Linked DNA regions of Cricetulus griseus. The protein of the gene in region 2 binds, or shares a complex with, the protein of the main gene of each other region. Links are inferred from orthologs where the notes say so. Each region holds a gene or a part of one and is shown on either strand. Other genes may lie near its edges. The genes, in order: Kbtbd4 and Cul3.

Region 1 (4,061 bases), on a different chromosome or scaffold from region 2:
AGCCCTGGAACAGGGTTAGAGACAGTTGTAAGCTGCCATATGGGTGCTGGGAATTGAACTTGAGTCCTTCAGAAGAGCAACCAGTGCTCTTAACCATGGAGCCATCTATCCAGCTCATTATTTTTGTATGTTTTGGTTTTTCCTGGCACTCATTCTGTAGACCATCCTGGCCTCAAACTCACATAGATCTGCCTGCCTCTGCCTCCCGAATGTTGGGATTAAAAGTGTGCGCCACTACTGCCCTTCATTAAAAAATATTTGACATGTTTTGCCAGCACATGTCTTTGTACCATATGCATGCCTGGTACCCATGATCAGAAGATAGCATCAGATGCCCTAGAAGTGGAGGTACTGACGGTTGTGAGCCACCATGTGGATTCTGGGAACTGAACCACAGTCCTCTGTAAGAGTAACAAGTGCAAGGACAACAAGTGCTCTTAACTGCTGAGCCCTCTGTCCAGCTTCATCAATGACAATCTTTTTTGTTTGTTTGTTTTGTTTTTCGAGACAGGGTTTCTCTGTGGCTTTGGAGGCTGTCCTGAAACTAGCTCTTGTAGACCAGGATGGTCTAGAACTCACAGAGATCCACCTGCCTCTGCCTCCTGAGTACTGGGACTAAAGGCGTGCGCCACCGCAGCCGCCACCACCACCTGGCATCAATGACCATCTTAATGGGCTCTCAAGAGGAATCACAGCTGGGCATAGTAGCAAATGCGTTAAATCCTTGCACTTGGGAGGCACAGATATCTCTGTGAGTTCAAAGCCAGCATGATCTACATGGTGAGTGAAAGGAAAGCCATGGCTATGTAAAGAGACCCTGTCTCAAAAAAAACCAAAAAACAAAGACCTGAGTCACTTTATTTGACCACTATTATATGTATTTGTTTATGCATGTATCCAATTACATACGTATGAAGTTAACTTGAAACTACTCCACCACTAACATTTTGCAGTGTTGGGATCAAACACAGGGTCTCATGTACACCAGGGAAATGCTCTATGACCAAGTTACACCACTAGCCCTGGCTTGCTTTTTAAAAGAAAAGTGGATGGCATAATTTGCTCCCACATGCTACAGAAGTCACCTATCAGGCTACAGAGCACACATCTCAAGTACAGTCCCACCTCACCTGCCAGGGCAGAACTGTTACCTAAATAATTGTACCCAAATGTTTCCTATTTTAGATAGCTTGACTTATCATCTATATCAATTTGTTTAAATAAATAATCCTGTAGGTACGGGGCAGATGAAAACATGAGGCACCTCTTACTTCCTTTTGTTGAAAAGTGATACAGCTTTTTGTTCTTCAGCTTTTTCTGTAAGGCACTCTGTCTCTTACAGCAGCTACCCTGATTCTCAACCTCAATCTAAATCTCTACCAGAAATGATAATATAAAGTTAACAACAGTTAGTTACATAATCTTGCGAGTCCTCCTGAGCCAGAATACCCACTGAAAATTACTCTTGCATAGTTGGGTATGATAAGCCCCTCCACAAACCGACCTGAGATGATGTCAGTGAGGAGATGGTGGGGCAAGTGGAGAAACTCCTCTGTGCTCTGCAGCTGGGCCAGGTGAGTCTTGGCACAGTGTTTGGCAGCAGTGTAGAGCTCAGGATCACTGTGCCTATCTGCAAGCCACATCACCTGAAGGCAGTTTCCCACTTGTACTGTGCGTGCGAGAAACCGAGAACATTCCTCAAAGAGCGATGTCAGCTGATACATGTCTGACACCTCATAAATCTCCTGCAGCTCTTCAGCTCGAAGCTTCACAGTCCCGTGGTAAATATAATCAACCAGGAGCTGGAAAACAGACTCACTGACATCTTGCAGCACAATCACCCGGTTGTGAGCCTCCTTCAGGTTAGAAGTGAACATGGACCGGAAGAAGCAGCTCTGGGCTGACAGGACCAGCCGGTGGAGCTGAAACTCTCGGCCTTCCACTGAGATGGTAACATCAGCAAATAGCTCCTCCTCTAAACACAGTTTCATAATGCCTTGAGCCACTCGGCCTGAGTGAGATCGGTCTTTGAAAGTATAGTTCACAAAGTAGTTTTCATCCATGGATGCTCCAGGCTCCTCTGGTGACTCCATGGTAGCCAACTTCTCTCTCTGCCACCTATCTGCAAAACAATACCACCCTAAGTATTTGAGTAATTCACAGACACTGTCCATGCCTCCAACTGTCCAACTCAGGATAGGGAGAAGGGGGAAATAGGAGCAAAATGGGTCCAGACTGGCCTTATCCCTGGCATTGCCAACATGGTCTATGACATTCCTTCACCCAAAGTTTTCCTGCAGTGGGGTCTCTCCTCCAATGAGATCAATTAAAGTTCTATCTCTGCTGTTTTTCCTTGAGGGAAAAGCAGACATTCCTGATGATGTAACAAAAGACTTGTGACTTTGGTCATCTGGTGAAAGTGGAGAAGGAGGAAGCCTATGATCTTAAAAGATTTACTAATCAAATAATTTGGATATATAACTAGTGAGACTCAGGAGAAGCATAATTAAACCAAAAAAAGAAGAAGAAAGTAAATAAGGCAAGGCAACCAGTTATTGTGGCTAGATTCCTTTCTTGCCTGGACATAAGCGTGCAGACCCACCGATACGAGGCCTGGGCCTGGACATCCATTACTTCCACCCTTGCTCTTTTCTGAGCGGCTGTTCTCTACTTACCCACTCGCCCCAGTGAGCTCCTAAAGAAGCTCAAGAGAGCCCAGCCGTCCCCGGCCGGGGGCACAAGGAAGTCCATAACCTGTGCAATCCGACCGCGCCACCTAGAGTCGCCTAGGAAACGGTCTCCAAGGAAACCGTCCGTCCTCTCCCCGCCACCCTCCCTCATCAAAAGCCTTGGCTCTGGAGCCGGGGAGCGGTGTGGAACTTAGAACCCAGAACGCCCACCCTTTCTTTCCCCTTCTCTCACCCGTCCGATTCTTTGCAGCTGCTTCTCTTCGGCCTCCGCTGTACCGAGTTAGGGCTACGTACACCTCACGGTTTTCCCACCTTCGGGTCTTTCTTACCTGCGTTACCTCCTTTCATGCCAGTGCCCAGATCCGGAACCTCTGCTTCCCGCCCCGCGTCTGCCCGGAAGAAGATTCATTGCACATTTCCACTTCCGGTCCGTGCCCTTGGGGCTCCGTGGCCTGTGTGTGCTCCTTCGGGTAGTTTGTCGACAGGCACCCAAGGAACATGGCGGCCGCCGCAGCCAGAGTCTGGTGGCGTGGGCTCGTGGGGGCTGCTTCCGTAGCCAGGGGTGAGCAAGGGACAGCAAGGGCAGCGGCAGAGGCGCGCCTAACACGGAGACCTCTCTGGTCTCACCCGCGCCTTTGGCCTTTTATCTCTCTGCGCAGGGACTGGGCGACCCTCAGCGCTGTTGCAACGGGTGAGGAGGGAGAGCGCGGCGGCTGACACGCGCCGTGAGTATGTGCGGACCTCGCTCTTCTCCCCGACGTTAGCAGGAGCTTTTCATTGTTCGGTCAGATGTTTGTCCTTGCCCTGGAATGCCCTTCCCTCTTGGCAAATCTCTGCTTGTCCTTGGAGATTGCTGTGGTCTCCACTTGGCTGGTAGAATCGAGTACTTCCTGTGCCCTAGATATTTGTTCCCTTCTGATCTTGATCGCTCTTTGCTCGTTTTCATGATTCCCCCCTCCCTCCGATTAAATTGTCAGCTCTTTGAGAGCAGGTAACAAAACTTTTGAGACCAGAAGAACAGAAATATAGCAGCTCACACCAATCTAGTACTTATTAGGCACCGTAAGGCTTTAAACCATACAGTAAATAATTTCCTTTGGACTTAATAACAGCCACATGAGATGCATAGTACTTTATTGACAGTACTATAGATCATGAAGCAGTCTACATAATTAAATGTTTCAGTCACGGGTCCACTGAACGACAAAACAGGTCTTCGGTAAATACTTAGTAACTCTTTGCCTGATGTGTGGGTGCTCAAGTAATTAATTGAGCGATCATGTGATTTTATGGTCAGTCAACAGAATCAAGCTGGGAAATTGAAGGCCTGGCTTTCTTCCATTTCTGGACATCAATCTTCCTATAGATAAC
Region 2 (15,876 bases):
CTGGGTCCCCAGCACCCATGTAAAAAATTCTGTGCATTGTGATGCATACCTGAACCCCAGTACTAGGACAGTAGAGACATAAGTATCTCTGGAGCTCTCTGGACAATCAATACAGCTTAGTCAATGAGCTCCAGGTTCAGTGAGAGTGCCTGTGTACTGGCTATTTTATGTCAACCTGATATAAGATAGAGTCATCAGAGAGGAGGGATCCTCAGTTGAGAAAATATCGCCATAAAATCGGGTGGTAGGCATGTTTGATGTGGGAGGGCCCAGCCCACTCTGGGTACTATCCCTGGGCTGGTGGTGGTCTTGGGTTCTGTAAAAAAGTAGGCTGAGCAAATCATGAGGAGCAACCCTCCATGGCTTCTTCATCAGCTCCTGCTTCCGGGGTCATGCTCAGCTTTGTTTGAGTTCCTGTTCTGACTTCCTTTGATGATGAACGCTGATATGAAAGTTTAAGTCAAACAAACCCTTTCCTCCCCCAATTGCTTTGGCCACAGCATTTCATCACAGCAATAGTAGCCCTAACCAAGACAGTCTGTCTCAAAAAATAAAGTGGAAAAGAAACTGAAGACACAGAACTTGGACCCTAGCATTCCATAAGAATGCATACACACATGCACGTGTTAATAAACACACACACACAACCTTCAGTGTTCAGTACTTTAGTATACTCTCATTTTTCAGAAGTAATTAAACATGTTAACTTCAAGGAATAGTCTTTTTAAGTACATACTTAAGATACACTGCATTGAGCCGAATACACTGTACTAAGCCCCATGGCTCTCAGATCTGTCACCAGTCAATAATTTTATTTTGGTTTGGGTCTTGGGACGGGGTTTCTCTATGTAGTCCTGGCTGTCTTGGAACTCACAGAGATCTGCATGCCTCTGCCTCTGACGTGCTAGGATTAACGACATGTGCCACCACCACCCAGCTATTTAGGCAATAATTTAAACCACTTTAGAATTGTTTTTTCAATATATATCTATTAAGAAAGCGTATTATTCCACAAACTAGAAAAACACTTAACAATGTAAGTATGTAGTATAACACGCAAGATCAACCTGTGTCCCATGAGTTGCATGCATGTAGGCATGCTCAGATAACTATGAATATGACCCAGTACTTCTATATTTGACAATGCCATGTAGCAATCAATGTTCAAAGGCTGGACAGTTCTGGTAGTTTAATGGAAAATGACTCTACCCTTTTCTATGTGTTTATGTAATATTACATACTATTAGTGGATGTCTCAGAACTCTCAAGAACATTTAAAGCATGAGGAAAAAGACTGTCAACTAAAACTTGTTTTTTGGATTTGAGATCAGTCAAAATATTTAAAACAAAATCCAGAATAAAGTAGGTGTTCCACCCTTAGCAGTGTGCTAATCTCATAAAGTGGCTTTTCTTTGTTGGAGATGGAAAGTAAGTGGATATAAAGAGGAAAACAATGTTCATTACTTAGAAAGGATACATAGGTATCAGAGGCTAACAGTTCATCAAGAGCTACTTTAAAGAATAACTTGCAAGCAGAGTGTTAAAGAATCCCTCTTGGTGATGCTGCCTTGATGTTTTAGAAGAATATCTCCAAGAAATCTTGTGTTTTCCAAAGAAGGTAAAGATCCCCTTTGAAGTTTTGTTCACTTGCTCAGCAGTAACATTTTTCATTTAAAAAACAAAGTATGTCCTCCCCCCTTTCTCTAGATTCTAAGTCTTAAATGTATACAAGCCAAATCAACAAGTTTTACTTAATTACTTCAATTTTAGTTGGCTTTAAAAGATTAAAAGGCATAATTTCCAATAGCAAAAACTATGGGCTAGTTAAGACAACTACAAGACTAGTTCTCAATTTCCTATTATTATTATCTAGTTAGGCAAGTATGGCCCTGTTTATTAGGCTGGTGATTAGTGATGTTAAGGCAATGGCTAACCTTTTTAAATGAATCCCCTACTAATGGCAATAGAGAAGCAGCTCTAAATGACCATAGAGGACAACTCTGAGGATACCCTTCTACTGCAAGCCCTCCAGTCCTCTACAATCTGTGACTGTGACTACCCTACAGCACACTCTAAACATTTTTTAAATGAAAATTCTGGCTCTACAATTAGCAACTTTCTTTAAAATATCCTAGTTACACCACTATTAGAAAGTTTTATACTCTGATTTACTCCTTATAATTAGAATCTGTGAAAAACTGTCCTTCAGTGTGTCATTTTATGTGAAAAAAACGGACTAAGGAAAGAACATTGTATTATTTCATTTACTGAATACTGCCTATTCTATGTTGTGTACTAGTATAACTAGACTGATGAAAATCAATTCATAAAGACTTGATGCTTCCCCTAAAAGAAAATTAAACTCCTAAATAAAGAGATATAGATCATTCTATCAGGAATCTTGGCCATGAAAACAAAATGAAATTGGTAATGAAGAAGAAAAAGTTTCTTGCTTCTCACAACAGAAGCCAAGAGCTGAGTAATGATACATGTTCAAGAGTGTAAATGAATAGAAAGATTGCTGAAGAACTTCTATCTCCTGACACTGGTTTTCCTGGGGAGGGGACAATTGTTAGTTTCTTGAAGAGAGGTAAGAGAATTCCTTTGGGGGGTTCGAGGCAGGGTTTCTCTGTTTAACAGCCTTGATTGGCCTGGAACTCACTCTGGAGACCAGGCTGGCCTGAACTCTCAGAGATCCACCTCCATCTGCCTCCTGTGTGCTAGGATTAAAGGTATGTGCCACCACGCCCAGCTGAGAATTCTTAATAAACAGTTTTAAGTGCAGTGATTAAAATTCTGAAGCTGGAGAGATGGCTTAACAGTTAAAAATATTGAACTGGGTTCAATTCCCAGCACCTACAATGCTAGCTCACAGCTGTCTGTAACTCCAGTTTCAGGGGATTCAACACCCTCATACATGCAGGCAATAAAATAAAATAAAATAAAAATAAAACAGCTGAGTAGGAAAGTTGAGAAATGCACTAGCTAGACACACATATGAAATGGGTCTAAGTTAGTGACACTGTCTTTCAATTTTCTTCGGTACACCACAGCCTAGAAAACATGAGCAATGAAGGCAAAAAAAAAAAAAAAAAAAAAAAAAAAAAAAAAAAAAAAAGCCGTCTGGGTGAGCACTGGGAAATCTGAGAATCAATACCAAAAATGAGGAAGACAGGAGATAATTAAAACAAATACAACAACAACAACAAAATAGTAAGTAGTTTTAGATCTGTAGTTCTCAACCTTCCTAATGCTATGGTCCTTTAACACAGTTCCTCATATTGTGGTAACTCCCAACCATAAAATTATTTTCGCTGGTACTTCATAATTAATTTTACTACTGCTATGAATCTTAAAGTAAATATCTGATATGCAGATGGTCTTAGGTGAACCCCTGTGAAAAGGTTGCTTGACCCTCAAAAGGGTCAAGACCCACAGGTTGAGAAATGCTGCTTTAGAACTGATGAACATTTACTTAAACATGTTAGGGTATTATACACATAGCATAGAGTGTTTATCTAATTGTGCAGGAATGACTACTGAAAACTCTCTCTTGAAGCCATACCCCAAGAGCCAGTAGCATTCCTATACAGAACCCCAGAGGTACCAACCCTATATTCTTCAGACTGCATTCTTGGGTGCTTCACAAATTGGTTCTGTGGGCTTTCAGAAATACTAAGCTAGAGCTTGTATAAAATAGGGAGGGAGAGCACAGCACTAAATAAGTATGCAGAACTTCAATCTACCTACAAAAAAATATCAGAATTTTAATATTCAAATTTTGGTAAAATCATGACTCACTATTGACATAATTATAGTTAACTGTGTGCTAACTAAATTCTAAGCTTTACTTTATCACACAAAATGGTAAGGCAGGTCCTTTTAGTATTCTCATTTTATACAGAAAAGTGAGGCTAATTTAGGAGGCAGTACAAGTTATAATGTGGACCTGCTGTTTTAGCCCACACTCTAACTACTACTCTCTCAGCCTCTTTAAATTTTAGCTACACAACTAACACATATGTTGAATGCTCCAAAACTAAAAGTTCCCCAGGATCTACCCATAGTTTTATCCTTACTAATAATAAACAAAAGATATTCAACTACTACTTTTTTGTAATTTTTTATTAGTTCAAATTAGGAACAAGCTTGTTTCACATGTCAATCCCTTCTCCCTCTCCCTCCCCTCCCGACCTACCCTCCACCATCCCATCCACCCTCCACTCCCCAGGCAAGGTAGGGCCCTTGACAGGGGCTCCCCAAAGTCCACCTCAACTACTATTTTTTAACCTATTAATAAATAACAAAGATGTATCTGGCCAAGATTCAAAGATGTCAAACAACCTTGAAGTGTATACTTCCTATTCACATTCACACAGGACCAGTTATAACCTGGTTCTCATATTTACACACTAACCTCAAGCAAACTGAACTCTCAAGCCCTCACCTGTAAAACAGATAACACTAAGATGGTATAGAACAGTAATTCTCAACCTCCCTAATGCTATAACTCTTTTTAATACAGTTCCTCATGTTGTGGTGACCCTCAACTACAAAATTACTTCTCATTACTACTTTAAAACTGTAATTTTGCTACTTTTATGATGGGGGGGGCTTTTTGAGACATGGTTTCTCTGTAGCTCTGGAGCCTGTCCTGGAACTAGCATTCAACAAGTTTTAGCTATATTTCCACCTCTCTTGATAGTCATTATATAATATACGCGAACTCTATTCAGCTCAGTAATTCTAGAATGGATTATGCAGAGTCTAAGCTGCATTCTGTACAGAGAAAAAAAAAATTCCTAGAGTCAGTCAAAATTCCTGACAGTAGGTGAACAATAAAGTAAATGTGGGAATTATAAAGTACCAGTGACAAAATGTTTTCCAAAATCTACCCATATGCACTGTAAGAAACCATTATTAAAAATGAGTACAGGGCCTGGCTGTGATGGTGCAAGCCTTTAATCCCAGCGGGGGTGGGGGGGCAGAGGCAGGAGGATCTCTGTGAGTTTGAGAGCAGCCTGGCTACTTCCAGGATAGCCTCTAAAGCCACAGAGAAACCCTGTCTCAAAAAAAAAACCACACACACACACACAAAAGACTCAACTGGGCTATGAAATCACACAGGGATATGAAACGTTAAAGAAACACATCCAAATGTTAATATTCTTTATTTCCAGGTGGTAAGATTATTGCAATTGTTTTGTTTACTCTCTCTTTGTTTTTTTTTTCCAAAGACAGGGTTTCTCTGTTTAACAGCCTGACCTGTCCTGGAACTAGTTCTGTAGAGCAGGCTGGCCTTGAACTCACAGAGATCCACCTGCCCTCTGCCTCCCAGTAATGGGATTAAAGGCATGATCCACCATAAAATAGTGCTATGAATTTAAAGGAGTAAACCACCTCCCAGCTTATTGGAAATTTAAGCATGGATATTTTATCAAATTTTCTATCATTGGCCTATATCACTTTCATGATTAGAAAGTCAACTGTCAAACCATAATACATCTATGAATTACATACCATATTTTACCTCAATGATTCTTAGTGTTAATACTTTTGGGTTCATTTTAGGACAGGCAAACAAACACCTCTAATCCCAGCACTCAGGAGGCAGAGGCAGGCGAATCTCATTAAGTTTGAGGCCAGCCTGGTCTACAGAGTTCCAGGACAAGTTCCAAAAGCTACAGAGAAACCTTGTCTTGAAAAACCATAAATTAACTATTCATCCAATGTCTATCTACTACCCTTCTGAGAATCCTGAAGGAGAAGTAACAAAAAAATCTGTTGTAAGTTCTCCATATTTATAATATAAAGAAAAATGACAATATTTCTAGTCAAAATCCTATACTCTTCCTGCACTGGACAAACGTTATTACTGCTACCACTAAGCTACATTTAATGAATGAAACATAACCAAACAAATGACTATTTTATGTGAATGATTCAACTTCCTAGTCAATGTACTTGTACGGAAAGAAAGGGCCAAATTTTACATTATTGACTATGCTACTATGTAAAAATAGGCTTTAAAATTCGTGGGGCTGTAGAGATTATTTGGTTCAAGCATACTTGCTGCATAAGGATATGAACTCAAAATCTGAGCACAGTTGTGTGAATGAGTATCTGTAACCCCAGCTCTATGGAAAGGCAAAAACATGAGGATCCCTGGGACTGACTTACTGGCTGCCAGCCCATCTTCAGGTTCAGTGAGAGAACATATCACAAGGGAATAAGGTAATGATAGACAAGGACACCCAAAAATCCTCTGGCCTCAAATATACCCAGACACATATGCCCACACCACACACACACATACACACATTCCACACTTAAATAACTGATACCATTTTCTCCCTCATACACAAATAAACAAACAATAAAATTCACTTTGAGTACTAATTTTCCCAACTCTTCTGAACTGCTATTATATGCAAACTGGAGCAAGAGCGCTGACTCAGCAGTTACAGAGTGTGCACTGCTGGGAGCTTTGTAGAGCGACAGGTCACATCATAGGAGTTACTTTCAGTGTCTCCTAATCTAAGTGAAGCCAAGAATGGCAAATGACAGAGGACAGTATTTTCACTCAAGAATCACACCTCCAAGTCCAACCATGCCTGCCCATTTGAACAAAATTCTGGACCAGACAGAGAGGAATGGTTTTTCAGAGAAATGTTAACCCAAAAGAGTATATACAGGGTAGACAACATACAAGTGAAGACACATGGAAACAGCAAGGAAAAAATTAATCTCTTCCAGTGGAATTACTTGGCCCAAATCCATATGTAATGTCCCCTCTTTGTAATAATCACGCTCTGTAGCCCCAGCTGATATTTTGTGTGCTTTTTTTCTTAATGAAATATTATCAACGGGGGCTAGAGCAGTAGCTCAGTGGTTAAAAGTGCCTAATGATTTTGCAGAAGACCATCACTGATTCCCAGCACCCGCAGGTAGAACGGGACAGCTCCAAGGAGTCTGACTCCTCTGCCTTCTGCTGGCACCTACACTCAAAATGCACAGACCCACACACACCTCACAAAAAACAAAACAAAACAACAAAAAAAAAACTTTAAAAAATTTACCAACAAAAAGATGTAAAATAAACTATAGTCTATATAATAAAAGTAAGTCTAAAAATTAAATCAACAATTTTTTCTGTTAACAGTTCAAGTACAGAAATTCTTAATCTTAAATTTTGTAAGTTTACTTAAAAATGTAAACTGGGGGTGGGGGCAGAAAAAATTCAAGCTGTGCATTAAGCTAGTGTAGTGTAACTTTCACTCTGCTGAATAATGTGAAAACAAACTTAAAATATACACTAAAAATACAAAGAGAACCTGTTTGGTAAAATTTTATCTGCAATACTCTCGTATATATGAAATATTCTGTAAGGTAACTCACCACTACTGTACAGTGAAAATGAAACAAATCCAAACTCACTCATTCCTTTTACATATCAATTTTTTTTGGGGGGGGGACGACCCTGAAATGAGCAACTGAAATTTTTCATTAACCTACGGTTTGCCATAAGTTACAGCTAACTATATATCCACATAGTGTAACATACACCAGTTGTAGGAATATACACACATAAGCATAAGTGGTATTTTTGTGTGTGTGAAATACTATTTATAACTTCTGAGTAGCAGTTGATGTGGGCTGTAGTTTTAGACAAGACCACTAATCTGGATGAAAGTCTGACAGTCTAAGGACCTGATTCCCAGAAGTCAATGAAATATCACTGGAGCCTTATCTACCCCCAACAATGGCTGATTATTTTCAATGGGAACTACCTTGACTGTTATTTATACTTATGAACTAGGAAAAAAACGAAAACACAAAACAAATCTCTGTTCCCGTACTATGTATTAGCTAACCTATCAAACACTATTATCATCTTCAGCTAATGGAATAAAATTCTCTCCTGCTTTTAATCCCTAATACTAGCTCCAGAAAACAAAGATCTTTGCCTTTACACATCTACTGATAAATCCTAAAGCTCCAGGAACAGTACCTGCATACAGCACTCAGTGTATCTTGGAGCAATGAAGGGATGGGAGAGGAAAACAGGTGCTAGCAGGGAGAGGAGGAGGTCAAAGAGGTGCAAGCACAGATAGACAGAATACAACTTGTCAGAGAGGAGGTCTTCCACATCTCACCAAACAAAGACTTCAAGAAAGAACAGCACCAAGAGCAAACATTTCCTAGAAAACCAGTGTCACGATTTCATTAAAAGACACACACACCCCAAAAAATAGAAGGGGGGGGAGGGATCAGACTTGACAATCACCTGGATGGTGGATTCAGGAGGAAAATTTTATTACTCAAATTCATAAACCCAGGCCACTGCCCAATTACAAAGGAAAACATAGTAGTGAACTTTATCAGTGTTGTCTTTCCAGCATTTCTCACTTTCTGATGTAAAAATAAATCGTTCATAATGTAATTAATATCAAAATACTTCTTCCTCCTGATTGTACCCACCCTGTTTACATAGGCCCCATTTATTTACATAAAAGTTTCAATATGTTCCTTGCAAATTCACAATTCTGCATCAGTTGTATACTTTTCTTTTTGACATTAAGAATTCAGTGGCCCTCAAGTTCTCCAGGACAAAGTTACTCAACTCGGGCAACACTGTGGTCTGTCTGTCTTTCCTTTCCTCACTGCAAAGGGTACCCACACGACAGAATGCTTATGAGCCTCAGAAGAGAAAAACAACAACTTTCCTTGGTTTTACTTTTAAGAGGACTTGCCCGACTGCGGGTTTGCCCGTTTGACTTTTACCTGTTACTGTAGCGACATGAGCAAGTATGTCCAGTTTCTCTGTTACAACAGGACCTTTTAATTGCCTGCCACTGGCTGTCTGATGGAGGCATGACATCCGAAGTTAGGCTCCATCTACTAAACACCGCAAGCCTATATGACTCAACGCAACGCCAAGAGAGAAAAAAAAAAAAGTTTCTCAAGAGAAAAACGTTTGCTGTCGCTAAAAGAAACGTACAAGGTAAAACTAGCCTGCGTGGCGACTATTCTTGGGGACTTCCCTGGCTAAGAGATGGAAAAGCAGGAGAGTGCAGCTCCTTCTGTGCCTGGCCGGCCCTCCTCGGAGCGGAGCGTCTGGTGAAGCGCTCAGGAGGCTTGCGGGATCAAAGATGCTATAAATACTAGGCTCGGTGCTGCTGCTGCTCTTTAGCCACCGGGCATTTCTGTCAGTGAGTGGGGCAGGCGGGCGGCAAGACGGCTCCTGACTGAGGAGGGGGCAGAGGCGGACGGTCCTCCCCACCACCGTCCAAGCCCAGCCGGCTCCTTCTGGAAACCAGCAGCTGAAAGTTACACACACACACACACACACACACACACAAACACACACACACACACACGCCCCACGCGAGGGCTGCGGCGGCGGCAGCGCGCGTCCCCTTCGGGCCGAGGCAAGCGAGGCCGGCGCGAAGGAGGCCCCGGGGCGACCGGGGCGTCAGGAACGGCCCGGCTCGCGCCCGGTGGCGACCGCGCCGGCCCGCGCCGCCCGCTTGCCCTGGAAGGCTCGCGCCCCGCCACCGGCGGCCGTGGGGTGAGGGGAGGCGGGCTGCGGCCTGTTGGCGGAGTTCAGCCCCGGCCTCGCGTGCGGCTCCCGGCCGCGGCTCCGGGTCCCGGGCGCCGAGGACCGACTCACCGGAAAGGCCCGGATCCGCATCTTGGTGTCCTTCCGGCTGCCCGTGCCTTTGCTCAGATTCGACATGGTGCTCGGCCCCTCCCCGGTGGCGGCGGCGGGTGCGGGTGCGGCGGCTGCGGCGGCGGCTCGCACTCCGAGGCGCCGGTGTCACATTGAAGGCGGGAGGGCGGCCGCGGGCTCGGCGGGGGCGGCGGCGCGGCCCCCGGGCTGCGGCTGGCAGCGGGCCGGCCCCTGCGCGGGGCCGCGCCGGCGGCGGGCGGCGGCTCGGGCCGGCGGCCTCGGGCTCGGCGCTGCGCTGGCGCGGCGGCTCGCGGGCTTCCCCTCGCGCCGGGCTCGGCTCCCTTTATCGCGCTCCTCCGCGATGGCGGCGGCGGCGGCGACGGACAAACATCTCACTGCGCAGGCCGAACGTCCTCCTCCTCCTCCTTCTCCTCCTCCGCCTCAGCGAGACGAGATCCGGCCCAGAGGGTGGAGGGGGGAGGAGGGAGGGAGGAGAGCCGAGAGTGGAGAGATGGGGGGAGGGGGCGGGAGGACGGGAGGGGAAGCGGGAAGCGCGCGGCCTGCGGCAACGTTCCAGATTCTCGGCGAGATTCGGGGCGGCGCGCGCCGCGCCGCGGCGCGGGAGGGGCCGGCGGCGCGGGCGCGGGTCGGAGCCGGGAGGGCGGGAGGGAGGGAGCGCGAGGAAGGGGCGGGGACGCGGAGGAGGGTGCGGAGCTAGGAATGACAGCGGGCAGCGTCCTGGGGGCGGGAAAGGGGCGGGGCCCGGGGCCAGGAGGCGTGGGCTGCCTTTTCAAAAGAGGAGCGTCCGAGACCCCCGGTAGGCGGGGGCGGCCGCTGATTGGTGGAGGGCGAAGATGATGTGTCACGTGGGCAGTGGGCGGGGGAAGTTCCGGGAGCCAAGCTGGGATTTTTCAGCGCCGTGGCCCCCGCCCGCCCGCCCGGCGGAGCCCCCTTGCAGGTAGTCCCAGGCAAGGGCGTGGGTGCCCGTGGGGCGGCTCAACGTCCTCGAACTGTGGCTGTGTTTTTCTAGGGCACGTGGCCTAGGGATGGGTACTTGAGCCCCAGCCAGAAACTTGGAAGCAGAGTTTGTGCCCAATGAGAAGCTGATGTCCTATATCGAGCTAGGTGTTGCAACGCCTCACAACTGAGGCGACCAGGCTTCCTTGCTTGCACTGCGCTAGCTCCTGGGTTTGTCGGTAAATTTGGTATTTTCTGGAGGATCCAGAACCTACTAATGTGAAAACCGGTTTTTGTTTGTATCGAAATAAAACGAGTGCCTAATGTACCACATCTTTTTTTATTCCCCTTTTTTTGGGGGGTCGGGGGGAGGCCGGGGTTCGAGACAGGGTTGCTCTGTGTAGCTTTGGAGCCTATCCTGGCACTCGCTCTGGAGACCAGGCTGGTCCCGAACTCACAGATCCGCCTGCCTCTGCCTCCCGAATGCTGGGATTAAGGTCGTGCACCACCACTGCCCTGCGTACTACAATATCTTAATAGTCTGTGTTAAACATTATGATAGACGCCTGCCAAACAAATCTTTTGTACCATTACCAAGAGCAGTGCAGACCATTAAAACAAAAGCCACCGTGGAATTCAGTTTGCTGTAGATTTGGAAACGTTTTTTGTTTGCTCTGGGACTCTTTTATCATCCTATAGTGGAACTGTCTAGTTTGACTGCCTTTTGCTTTTAATTTAGTATGACTCCAACTTCCTAATCTACCTACTTACTCATTGCTGTTTCCATCTCCACAGGGAAAACCTGACTTTCTCCTGAGGTTTCTAATTTTTTGAATAAACTGTTGTGATGTGCATCTGCATTTGGAAGCTGAGGTCTGAGTAACTTTTTAAAATAGAAAACTTAGTAAAGCTTGCTTATTTATGATTGCATTAGCCCTAAATTATTTGTAATGTCTAAGCTTACAGTGCTATGCTCCAGACTCTCCTACGTGGAAATGCCCCCAATGAAAAATAAACTTTAAAAAATAGGCTTACAGCCAGGTGTGATGGCACTGGCCTTTAATCCCAGCACTAGGGAGACAGAGGCATGAGGATCTCTGTGAGTCGAAAGCCAGCTTGGTCTACAAAGTGAGTTCCAGGACAGCCAGGGCTGTTATACAGAAAAACCCTGTCTCAAAAAACCAAGTGTGTGTGTGTGTGTGTGTGTGTGTGTGTGTGTGTGTGTGTGTGTGATGTATGTTTATCTGTATTTACTAATCAAAACAGAAGCTTGAGAATGTTGCTTACACTAAGCTAAAAATAAAAAATGGGTTAGTTAAAACTAGGAAAGGCTCTGACAAACATAATAAGTGTGGATAGGAGTATATAATTTGCATGCTAATTGATCTTCATTTCCATAGTTATCACAATATAAAACTTTTCTGTTGGCTGTTCTGTCACATAGCTCCGTTTCTTAATAAAGTTAAATATATGTTCTGTAGGCATTGGTTTCAATCTAAGCTCTGCCACTTGTTTTGTTCTTTTGAGACAGGAGTTCTGTGTGTAACATCTCTGGCTGTCCAGGAACTCTCTCGGTAGACCAGGCTGGCCTCAAACTCCCAGAGATCCACCTGCCTCTGCCTCCCCAGTGCTGGGATTAGGGGTGTGTGCCACCACCAACCAGATAAGTCCTGCCACTTTATTAACTGTGTAATAAATTTCTTTGTGGGCAAGGATTTGGCTATTTTGTCTGGAGGGCTTCATCCGTGAAATGGAGACAATATTTCTTCCTGGGTTGCTATCAGATTTGAATGAGTGAGTGAATACGTTTTAAAAGCCATCAAAAAGTTGACCAGATGGCTCAGCAGTAAGAAGTAGATGTACTTGCCCTACACAAGTTTGATGAACCTGATGTTTATGCCTGGTGCCTAACTAAAGGTTAAAAATGAAACAGAACCAACTCTCAAAGGTTTTTGTTTTTTGTTTTTTGTTTTTTCTGACTACACACACAAACACACACAGAGGACATGGCATGTCAACATCCACATATTCACATGCACAACAATAATAAAACTTTTAAAAATGTGATAGCCATCAAGCAGCCATGCAGTACTTTTTGGCTGTTACTATATTATTCAATATGGCCTAAGTTATATTAGTTCCTACAAAATAAGTAAATACTGGTATGTGTTTATAAAATGGGTCATATCTGAAAGCCAGGCTGCAGCTCAGATACCACATACCAGGAAAACATTTTTCAGGAAACTGGAGAGCCCTTAGAAGACTATCAATTATAATTTGTCAAATAAACAGGAACAAGCAGATGATCGAGATGGCTAGACAGATACCCACCAAGCTGGGGACCTGAGCTTGATCTCTAGTGCCTGTAGGTGGAAGGAGAAAACTGACTCAGAAGTTTTATGTTTTCACTACTCAGCTTGAAAAGTGAAGTTAAATCGAGCAGTGGTGGCGCTCGCTTTAATCCCAGCACTTGGGAGGCAGAGGCAGGTGGATCTCTGTGAGCCTGGTCTACAAGAACAAGAACGAGTTCCAGGACAGTCAGGGCTGCACAGAGAAGCCCTGTCTCAAACAAACAAACAAACAAACAAACAAAAGTGAAGTTAAATTTGCAGGAAATTAGATGGACTTAGAATGTATGATGTTAAGTGGGCTCACACAAAATCAGAAAGAAAGAAACTGCATGCTCCCTCTCATAAAGAGACTCCAGGCAATACTATATGTAATATGTAGACAAATGTACTTGTGGGTATGAAGAATGAGAATAAGAAAGGCAGAATATGAAGGAATCAGGAAATACTGAATGTAGGTGATAGATACAAGTTATGAAGGACGATAGAGGGCTTTTTTTTTTTTTTTTTTTTTTTTTTTGCTTTTGGTGGTGAATAAGTGCATAAAATATATGCAGTAGTAAAAGTGTAAAATTTAATATGAAGCTCCACAGCTTCCATTTTGAATGTCAATTCTAACTACAGAGGTTCATCAAGTCTATGGATGTGGTATTTTTATGATTTGCAGGGGTTTTTTTTAAATAAAACTTAATTAAATTAAAAAATTTACAAGAACAATCATCCCTATAATTTTAATAAAAGAAATATTTTGACTCAGCAATTGCGAAGATTTAAGTTTTGAATAAAGAACGTTGATTCATTTAGCCTTATGAAAAATAGTACATCAACCTTTCTCAGTTTTCCATGAACTTGGGAAAATACCAAAGGCCAGACTAGAAGAATTAACTACTTAAGACCTATCTCTATTCAATTGTAAAGTGATATAGTCACTTTCATTTGTTTCACAAACACAGATCTCATATTTGTGTTACTTAAGCAAAAACTAAGTGCATTTAAAAGAATCACTATCGCCGGGCAGTGGTGGTGCACACCTGGCACCACTCGGGAGACGGAGGCAGGCGGATCTCTGTGAGTTCGAGACCAGCCTGGTCTACAAGAGCTAGTTCCAGGACAGCCTCCAATGCCACAGAGAAACTCTGTCTCGAAAAACAAAAGACAAAAAAACATAAAAAAGAATCGCTATCAACTGTTCCTTAGATCCCTACCCCACCCCACCCCCAGACAGGATTTCTCTGTGTAGCTCTGACTGTCCTGGAATTTGCTCTGTAGACCAGGTTGGTCTCAAACTCACAGAGATCTCCCTGCCTCTGCTGGGATTAAAGGCATGTGCCATCACTGCCCAGCCTGTTTTCTTAGATTTTAAGCATCAAGAAAAAACAAAAATGCTTCAAACTGAATCACATTAAGAAATTTACTGATTTGGGGCTGGAGAGATGGGTCAGCGGTTAAGAGCACTAGCTGTTCTTTCAGAGGACATTGGTTCAATTCCCAGCAACCACATGACAGCCTACAACTGCCTGTAACACTACCTCCCACACCTTCACACAGACATACATGTAGGCAAAACCCCAATGCACATAAAATAAAAATAAGTAAATCAGTTTTAAAGAAAATTTGCTGATTTATTTGTTCATTTATTTACTCAAGTATTTATTGAACAGCTACTATATATGTGAAGTTCTAGTGTGAATAAATGAGTTGAGACCCATCATCACAGAACATAAAAGTTCTTTACATCTCAAAATTAGAAACCACAAACCCAAATTGAATTGAGCAATAACTTCCTGTATATTTCAGTGCAGAAATCAAGAGATTTTTTTTTCTTTCCAGGGAAGCAGCATCCTCAAAATGTATATGAAAAAAACGTCTAAACTTCAGTAGACTATTCTAATGGCTCATGGTAGTCCCTGACTTGCAAATAAAAGATGACCTTTCAGGGTCTTATCTTTTGTGCAAGCAGCCACCTTCCCAACAGAGCAAGCACACTGCAATAGGAACACACTAGATCTTGCATGCCTGACAGTTATTATTCCTACTCCTGCTGACAGTGTCCTGACACAGGGAAACAGTGGCCCCGTTTCCATTATCCGCACGGGGGACGTGTAGTCAGACATGTCAGGCCAGGCAGCTGGGTGTGCCAGCCCCTTTTCTAAATTCCAGTCTGCAAAAAGCACCATAAGGTGTGAAGAGCCTGTAAAAGGGAATAATAGCCTCTTCTTGGCTATGAGTTTCTGGGTATCCAGGAAACCAAGCCTCTGTAATCACCACTACAGACACACATGTTTGATTGTAAAGATATTGGTTATTAAATCAGCTCACAACCTACCAATTCAATTAGAAGTTAATGATTTTGAACAGACCAAGACCATGGTAAGGGAAGTTGTATGCTTTTCAGATTAGAAGACAGATGTAGAGAGAGTCCCAGCTCCTTGCACGAAAGAGCTAGATTTTCTTTCTTCTTTGTTTCCTAATAAGTACTACAGGTCATTAGACGTGGGGTTGCCCAAATGCCTGGTAACAGCATGTATATCTGCATTGTACAATGCCATGTTATTAAAGGGAAATGTGTGGAGATCAGAGGATAACTTAGTGAGCCAGTTCGCTCCTTCACCTTTGTGTGAATCCTGGGGTTTGAACTCAGGTCACCAGGCTTGTGTGGCAGGTGTTCTTTTACCTGTTGAACCATCATGCTAGCCTGCACAAGATTTTATTTCAAAGGAAAATAATTTTCTCTTACCAATTGCATTTTAACAGTAAACATCGAAAGAAGCCTCTAGGGGGCAATTATATTGTGTATCACTTTCATTCATGACAGCTAAAGTATATATTGAAATTTATAATTCATCAGCTCATTCTTTGTAAGGTAAATTTGGAGTTGAGATATAGCATGGCACTAGA

Evidence for each region.
Region 1: Cul3 (region 2) and Kbtbd4 share a complex: the UniProt entries of both Homo sapiens proteins name them as parts of the BCR(KBTBD4) E3 ubiquitin ligase complex. The link is inferred for Cricetulus griseus from reciprocal best matches to the Homo sapiens genes CUL3 and KBTBD4.

What each region holds. Positions count from the first base shown.
Region 1 is NC_048599.1:85,853,347-85,857,407, forward strand, and holds the start of Kbtbd4 (kelch repeat and BTB domain-containing protein 4), read right to left. Parts: upstream 2,801-4,061; 5' UTR 2,752-2,800; coding exon 2,676-2,751; intron 2,123-2,675; coding exon 1,505-2,122; intron 1-1,504. Other genes in the region: Ndufs3 (NADH dehydrogenase [ubiquinone] iron-sulfur protein 3, mitochondrial), read left to right, coding at 3,189-3,252, 3,350-3,415. UniProt on the Homo sapiens protein: Substrate-specific adapter of a BCR (BTB-CUL3-RBX1) E3 ubiquitin ligase complex which targets CoREST corepressor complex components RCOR1, KDM1A/LSD1 and HDAC2 for proteasomal degradation.
Region 2 is NC_048595.1:432,984,541-433,000,416, forward strand, and holds the start of Cul3 (cullin-3), read right to left. Parts: upstream 9,868-15,876; 5' UTR 9,740-9,867; coding exon 9,674-9,739; intron 1-9,673. UniProt on the Homo sapiens protein: Core component of multiple cullin-RING-based BCR (BTB-CUL3-RBX1) E3 ubiquitin-protein ligase complexes which mediate the ubiquitination and subsequent proteasomal degradation of target proteins.